Linked DNA regions of Mus musculus. The protein of the gene in region 1 binds, or shares a complex with, the protein of each later gene. Links are inferred from orthologs where the notes say so. Each region holds a gene or a part of one and is shown in the gene's direction. Other genes may lie near its edges. The genes, in order: Upf3b and Magohb.

Region 1 (4,455 bases):
CACAATACAGGACTACAAGAAAGACCAAAGTTTCAGCATCTGGCCAACTTAGATGAAGGTCATCCTTTGTAGCAGCAAAATTTTAGTTCTCAGGTTAGTGCAGAATATAAATGAGGGAAGCTTGCTCTCCAGACCCCATTTCTTAATTGCAACACACCATGGTTATTTTTAATCATGGTGCTGAGAACCACCTGCCCAGATCAGGAACCTGCCACACTGAGGTGGGTCAGTGCCTTGTTTCTTTGGCCACCAGCAAACTGTACTGGAGACTCCCCTCCCCTTCAGACAGACACACCAGCAAAATGCTTTATTCTTCTCTTCCTTTCTTCATTTCCTCCCTCTTTCCTTCTACAGAAAACATCTTGTTGGGTATTTCATGACCCTCCTGACTCAGCTTCCCCAAAGCAGGGACTACAGAACACGCTACCACACCTGGTTAAAGAGTCCGTTTTATTGCTCAAATTTATGGCATGTACCAACTACTAAGGCATTGTACTTCATTCTGTGAATGTATCACATCTTGCTTGTCCATTCAACTGTTAATGGGTATTTGACCTTTTTCAAAGTGAAGAAAGTGAACAGAATCAAGTTGGATATTTTCCTTTCCCCATCTTGTTGGATAACAGTGTTGGGAGAGAATTCTTTAATTTGGAAAAGAAAGAAAGGTGGTGAAAACAAATGTAATACATTTTGGTTATAATTCATTGAAATTAGTATCTTGTGTGTTTCTTGAGCATGTGTAAATCCTAATGCCTCTGAAAGTATACTTCAGTTTTAAATAGCTTTTCCTTATCTGTTTATTTACCTGATGGTTGTTTGGTTGATATACGTACGGTTCCACTATCTAGCACTAATTTGCCTGAAAGTTGCTATTTAGACCACACTTTGAATTTGTCTTGATCCTTCTCTTTCAGATTCCCCAGTGCTGCAATTATAGGCTCACGTGGCATAAAACCTTGTGGGTATTTTTTATCTGAAAAAGAAAAGCACTAAACTTTTAAGATTAAGGGATCATAGCGGGGCAGTGGTGGCGCACGTCTTTAATCCCAGCACTCCGGGAGGCAGAGGCAGGTGGATTTCTGAGGTCTAGACCAGCCTAGTCTACAGAGTGGGTTCCAGGACAGCCAGGGCTACACAGAGAAACCCTGTCTCAAAAAAACAAAACAAACAAACAAAAAGATTAAGGGATCATATATACTTAAGATGTTTATGGTATTTTTATCTGAAAAAGAATCACTAAATTTTTAAGATCAAATGATCACATATACTAAAAATCTGGATGATTCCCACATTTCTAATCCTAAACGGGCAGCTGCTTTGCATGCTGGGAGTTGTAGTCCAGAAACGAGTCGTTTCTAGACAAGATGGCGGAGTTGCTAATGACGCGCTAAGGGGCGGGCCCCGAGGGAATCTGGGCCGCTAGGGGATTGGGCAGCATGGGGACTTCGGCAGGCGGGAAGTAAAGGTCAGGTATTAAAACCCTAACCCCGAGTGAAACCGAGGGCCTTAAACTCTCGCGAGATCTCCGGGAGCCCAATGGAACGCAGGGCTCTGCTTATCACTAGGGCTATTTGTTAGGGGCGGAGCTCCTGAGGTCTCTCCCGGAGAGTCGTAGGTGCCCGGCGTAACGGCTTAGCAGCTGTGCCACCGCTCTAAAGAGCGTAACCGTGGCCATGAAGGAAGAAAAAGATCATAGGCCTAAGGAGAAACGAGTGACCCTGTTTACGCCGCAGGGCGCCACAGGCGGCTGTATTGGCGCTACTGCCGAAGGCGCCAAAGGGGACGATAGGCAGGATCGCAACAGGGACAAGAAAGAAGCTTTGAGCAAGGTGCCTATCGGGTGGTGGCACAAGAGGGCGGGACATGTCCACGGACTGGGGAGCATGGCTGGGAATGGGGCTGCTCTCTTCCTCTCCCGGGTAACTCTTCTGTTTCTAACTGAATGGAAATTGCTTCGCACTGTCTCACGCACTGGTGGAAATGGGATTAGCAGGTTCTGATAAAGCCCCCGAAATGGGGGGATGGAGGGTGGGGGTGAGGGAAAAGGAGGGTTCCCAGATGAGAAAAGGTTAGTTCAGAGCTGCGACGGTGGGGTAGTTATGAGAGAGGGGAGCAGCAGGAAAGATAGGGGAACTTTAATTGGCTTGAATTGCTAAATAGACCTTGCCACACCAGGGGTTAGGGGTGGGAGTAATTGTGAAGTACGTGTTAATGCAAGCGAGTTGGGGGAGCACATTAAGAGGATTGATGACCAACCTGGAGGAGCAGACAGATGGAGGGCGATGGGTAAAGGATTTCCGTGGTACACAGAATGGGGAAGGGAGTTCATTTAGCGCATTTTAGACCGGTGAGAGAGACAATGTCGCGACACCGACAAAAGACCAGAATTCGTTCAAAATGGGTTTTAAACTCCATTTAAGAACAGAACCTGGGATTTTCCTTGCCCCAGACAGTTGTCACTTCCAGGAGTTTGTATAAACCCGCGTTATCCATACCTTTGAGTAATTCATAGCATTGGATTGCAGGAGAATATGTTCGGTGTTTTTGTAAGTGTCTGTATTTTAGAGCCGATTATCAGAAGCCATGATTCTGGTATGCCAGAAAGTTGGCTGCTATGTACTGATTTTCCTTTCCTCGTTTGTTTCCTAAGGTGGTAATTCGAAGATTACCTCCCACTTTGACCAAGGAACAGCTTCAGGAACATCTTCAACCTATGCCTGAGCACGATTATTTTGAGTTTTTTTCTAATGATACTAGGTAAAAAAAAAATTAATATTTTACCCTCCTTTTCGCTTTTTGGGCTAGTGTCTTTAATGTGTATGTGTTTGCAATTCAGTCAGACACCTGAAACCATAGTCACGTAATTGCTTTCCGTCTCTACAGCCTTTATCCTCATATGTATGCCAGAGCATATATCAACTTTAAAAACCAAGAAGACATTCTTTTATTCAGGGACCGATTTGATGGCTATGTATTCCTTGACAATAAGGGTGAGTATACGATTTAGGAGAGTTTTTCATGGTTACATTGAACAGAGTGTGTGCTGCCACTTGCGGTATGTGCCTGTAATCAGAGCAAAGGATGCAGAAGCAGGAGGGTGACTCCAAGTTTGAGGTCAGTCTGGACTACATAGAATGACCACTGAGAGAGAGAGAAGAAAAGAGATAGGGTTGAGGAGAGGGAGGAAGGGGTGTGGGAGAGCAATATACAATGCTTTCTCCAAGTCTGTGTGGGTTAGACTTAAACTCCTTTAAGATAAAATGTGCAACATTGAAAGAATTTTTATAACCCTGAGATAGTTTTCTTAACTTATGATTTCTTTCCTTTGATCCAGTGACTATAATTACCACTGATTTCTCCTGTTTGATACTTTATACTTGTTTCAAATGTCGACTTCCTGCCTCAAAGATGCTAATTAGTATCCTTTATGTTGCTAGTCCTCAGTTAGAATACTGTTTACCTTTCTCACAAAGCTGCGGAAAACTAAAGCCTCAAATTGCATCTCCCAGGCTGGAGATGTAACGCAATGATTGATGATATGTGAGACCTTGGGTTCAATTCTCAGCATCGGCAAATAACAGGAACACACCACAGCATCCTGGGATCCAAGCTACACAATGTGTAACATTAACAGATTTCGGAATGAACTCCTGACTCACTTTCCGTTTGCTGTCTGGGGTTTGCAGGGTTTAGCTAGAATGTATCCAAGTTGCCTTTTGCCACCTTTCATTTGGTTTTTGACTCATGGACAAGTGATGTGGGGTTTCCTGTCTGTTTTCATTTCCTCAATTACTTCAAGTTTGCAAATAGTAAATCCTTGTTGTGGAATATGCCTGATAACAAGTTGAAGGCTTGACAACTGTGTTTGTCCAATGTATATACACTTAGGGTCAAATAAGGTTCTCTCACCGTGCCAACTTTTACTCTTTGCTACATTGTAACTCGTGCCTAACACACGGTGCCTAATTATCCCATTTCCCAAACTGTCTTTATTTTTTCCTGACCAGCCTTTTTTTTTTGTTTTGTTTTGTTTTTGTTTTTTCTTTAATTCCAGACAGGGTTTCTCTGTATAGCCCTGGCTGTCCTGGAACTAATTCTGTAGACCAGGCTGGCCTCGAACTCAGAAATCCGCCTGCCTCTGCCTCCCAAGTGCTGGGATTAAAGGCATGCACCACCATGCCCGGCTATGACCAGCCTTTTTATTCTAGTAGATAACAATGATTTCTTATTTAGCTTCTATTGACTTATTATCCTCTTAATCAGTTTTATTACCTGCATGTGTTTATTTTGTGTGTCTTTAGGCTATGGAACATGTGGTCTCCCTTCCACCATGAGGGTCTTGGGACTTGAACTCAGATCATCAACCTTGGTGGCAAGTGCTGTTACACACTGAGCCCTCTCACCAACCTGCTGTGGATTTTTTTTTCTTTTTACAGTTTCATTTATTGTGCTTGT
Region 2 (3,495 bases), on another chromosome or scaffold:
CTGCCACTGCATTGTTCCACTTACATGGAAAATAATGAACCATGAGATCTACAGTTCCTGAGGGGTACACCCCAGTAGGGTAACCTGTCAGTTTAGCAGATGAGAAAGACATTACAGCTGTATCAGGGCCCCTAACTGACTCACCATGCAGGGAAGCACACACCAGGGGCTTCAGAGGTCTGAAGGATGGGTTGAAATAAAGCAGCTAACAAACTTGGCAGTTCATGTCCTTTGCTTGCTTCCTAGTTTAAAAAAAATTATTAGCAAAATGCACTAATATGAAGGAAAGGAATTAAGAGAGTACTTTGGAACAATAGAGAAAGAGTTGATGCAAAACAGACCTTTTGATACTCTGCAGCTCTGCAAGTTGCTTAACTTGATTTTATCTCCTGTGAAGAGGCGAGAAAGTGAAAGCTGTTCTTGGAATTCCTTTAGAGATTAGATGAAATGTTGTGAGTGCAGTCAGCGTTTACCACTAACATATGACACTGAAGAGAATACTTAGTGCTTAGACATAGTCACTTTGTGTTTAGGGCTAGATTAAGAAAATAAAACTGTTTATTGTGCACAACTTTAATCCCCAAACATAGGAGACAGTGGCAGGTGGATAGATCCCTGTGTGTTCAAGGCTGCCAACCTCATTACACAGTGAGGTCTTGTCTCAAAGGAAGGAAGGAAGGAAAGGAAGGAAGGAAAGGAAGGAAGGAAAGCAAATAGACCTTAACAAACCTGACCCATTTTATGTTGAAGGTATGGAATGTTTTAAGAATTACTAGCCTGCTTTTATATTTATTATTTAGCATTGATCTTGCATGAGAAAAGTAGATATACTAATAAAAGTGGGACTATGAAATTGTCTTTACCTCTAATTACTCATGATGTTCTTTCTTTCTCTCCACACAGGGAAGCTTAGATATGCCAACAACAGTAATTATAAAAATGACGTGATGATCAGAAAAGAGGCAAGTTCTGTTCATTTGTTCATGCATGTGTGTGTGCATGCGTGCAAACATGCTTGACTTTTTTTTCTCTTTCTTTCTTTCTTTCTTTCTTTCTTTCTTTCTTTCTTTCTTTCTTTCTTTCTTTCTTCCTTTTTTGAGACAGGGTCTCACTTTGTAGCCCTGCTGTCCTGGCTCTCACAGTGTAGACCAACCAGACTAGCCTAGAACTCAGAGATCCACCTGCCTCTGGCTAACTTCTTTTTAAATGTCAAATTTTTAACATTTTGTTCATTTATCTTGTCTGTGTTGACTGAAGTTATGTCAAGGGTCTCTTTCAAGAAGAAACTAATTTATAGATTGAAAGGTTTCTATTTTAATTACATATGATTTTAGCTTTTTTTTTTTTTTTTTTTTTTCTGTTTTTTCGAGTCAGGATTTGTCTGTGTAGCCCTGGCTATCCTGGAACTCACTCTGTAGACCAGGCTGGCCTCGAACTCAGAAATCTGCCTGCCTCTGCCTCCCAAGTGCTGGGATTAAAGGCGTGCGCCACCACTGCCCAGCAATTTTAGCATTTTTAAAAAGTTTTTTTTTATTGTGTGTTTGTATGGGTATGCACATGTAACATACATAGTATGCCTGGTAGAAATCAAAGAACAGCTGGTAGAAATTGTTTTTTTTTTTCTCTTACTATATGGGTTCTAGTGATTGAACGCAGGTATTTTTTCTCGGCTTTCTTTACCCACTGAGCCATCCTGGTGGCAGTTTTAACAAAGGAGTCAGCCTAAATACTTACAGCCCATATCATTTAATTCATTTTATGAAGTATAAATTTTTTTCTTAGATGTTTTCTTTTACATTTCAAATGCTATCTTCTTTCCTAGTTTCAATTTTAAATGGAAGGTGAGGAAGTTAGGCTGGGCTTCAAGTGCCAGCTCCTGTGTGCTTGTGCTGTGCCCTCAGTCTACAGCTAATACTGGCCCTGTAACTGTAAGCTGCCTGGTACCCCTACTACCCTGGCAGAATATGGGGCCTCAGAGCAGCTAGTGTGAGCAGATGGCACCTGTGTGTGGTAAAGGACATGGGTGTAGGGAGAGTAGCATTTGTGAGAAGGATGAATTTTATCCTGCAGCTCTGGGGTCAAGTTTACTTTTCACTCCCATTCTGTTTGGATATTTAGGACTTGGAACTGGCTTTTATTATATCTTGCTGAACTGTGGGAAGACAGACAGGCGTTCAAAGATCTTATTGTAACTGACTTTTCAGGCCTATGTCCACAAGAGTGTAATGGAAGAACTGAAGAGAATTATTGACGACAGTGAAATTACAAAAGAGGACGACGCTCTGTGGCCACCCCCTGACAGGGTTGGGCGGCAGGTCTGTGCCTAGTGACTCCTTAAGTGGATAGAGTCAAAGTTGGTAATGTAGTTGCTGTGTTTTCAGGATGGTTTCTTATTGAAACTTTGATTATATAGCTTCATATTCTTTCTAAACTTTTATTTTGGTATTAGATGTTGAAGTCAATGTTCATACATGCCAGGCAAGCCAATGCTCCTTCCAGGTTACAGCTCCCAGCCCTTACTTAGCATCATTTCCTTTGCTGCCTCCAGCTACTACAGGTGTTAGTGCATAGCTCTAAATTTAGACAGTATTCTACATCTTTTCTCTAGCTAGTCCAGAGAAAGTTGGGGTATTTTGACATTTATGAATTATTTATTATGAATGAGCTATTATTAATTGTTTCTATTGTAAGTGCGTACAACATTGCTAGCTAAATTTGAATGTTATGGTTCTTTTCATTGAGTGCAGTGATTCACTTTTTCCAATTGTTTGTTTGTCTTTTAAAATTCATGTATTTGAGTGTTTCAGAGAGAGATCTGATGGATTTCTTTGTTCCAGTGAACCATTGTGTTTGCCTCTCATATTCCCTTCAGAATAATTGATATTTCTCAAAGTGCTCCCAAAGATCTCGGCAGGCCCAATTTCACTCTGTATAGACAGTTTGGTTTCTAAATTGGGTCTTTTCAACCCCTGGAGGAGTAAGGTACAAGGTCGAGAGAGAAGATATTTAATCTCACTTTTGTGTGTTCCTGAGGCTTATACTTTATATGAGCTACTCTTTTTGCCTAGAAGAAAGATCTGTAGAGAGATCTAATATAGCTGAAAGTAGCAGTAACTGTTCTGTGTCAGGAACACAGTGCAGAGCATGGTATAGGGAAGCAGAGGCAGTGGTCTGTGTCCGGCGGGAACCCGAGTTACAGGAATACCACCTTTAGCATAATAGTCACTGGGCATCTGTGTCCACAGAGAACAGTGGAGTGCTTTAAAACTATGGAACCTGCCCTACAGGGAGGATGTGCCATGCAGATTTGTCTGCATTAATAAGTTGATATACTTTTTCACAGGGTGGCTTTGTAATATGCATCAGAAAATGTTGATATTTTCTATTTACCTTTGCCTTAGTAACATTTCTGAACATCAATTCTAGAAAAAGAAATTCAGAAACAGAGTAGGTTGAATTATGTATAAAAATGTTTTTCACCTGGGGAGAGCCAGT

What was found.
Region 2: Upf3b (region 1) and Magohb share a complex: the UniProt entries of both Homo sapiens proteins name them as parts of the mRNA splicing-dependent exon junction complex. The link is inferred for Mus musculus from reciprocal best matches to the Homo sapiens genes UPF3B and MAGOHB.

Annotation. Positions count from the first base shown.
Region 1 is NC_000086.7:37,107,450-37,111,904, reverse strand, and holds the start of Upf3b (regulator of nonsense transcripts 3B), read left to right. Parts: upstream 1-1,582; 5' UTR 1,583-1,673; coding exon 1,674-1,829; intron 1,830-2,650; coding exon 2,651-2,757; intron 2,758-2,883; coding exon 2,884-2,990; intron 2,991-4,455. UniProt on the Homo sapiens protein: Involved in nonsense-mediated decay (NMD) of mRNAs containing premature stop codons by associating with the nuclear exon junction complex (EJC) and serving as link between the EJC core and NMD machinery.
Region 2 is NC_000072.6:131,286,856-131,290,350, reverse strand, and holds part of Magohb (protein mago nashi homolog 2), read left to right. Parts: intron 1-903; coding exon 904-962; intron 963-2,204; coding exon 2,205-2,315; intron 2,316-3,495. UniProt on the Homo sapiens protein: Required for pre-mRNA splicing as component of the spliceosome. Plays a redundant role with MAGOH in the exon junction complex and in the nonsense-mediated decay (NMD) pathway.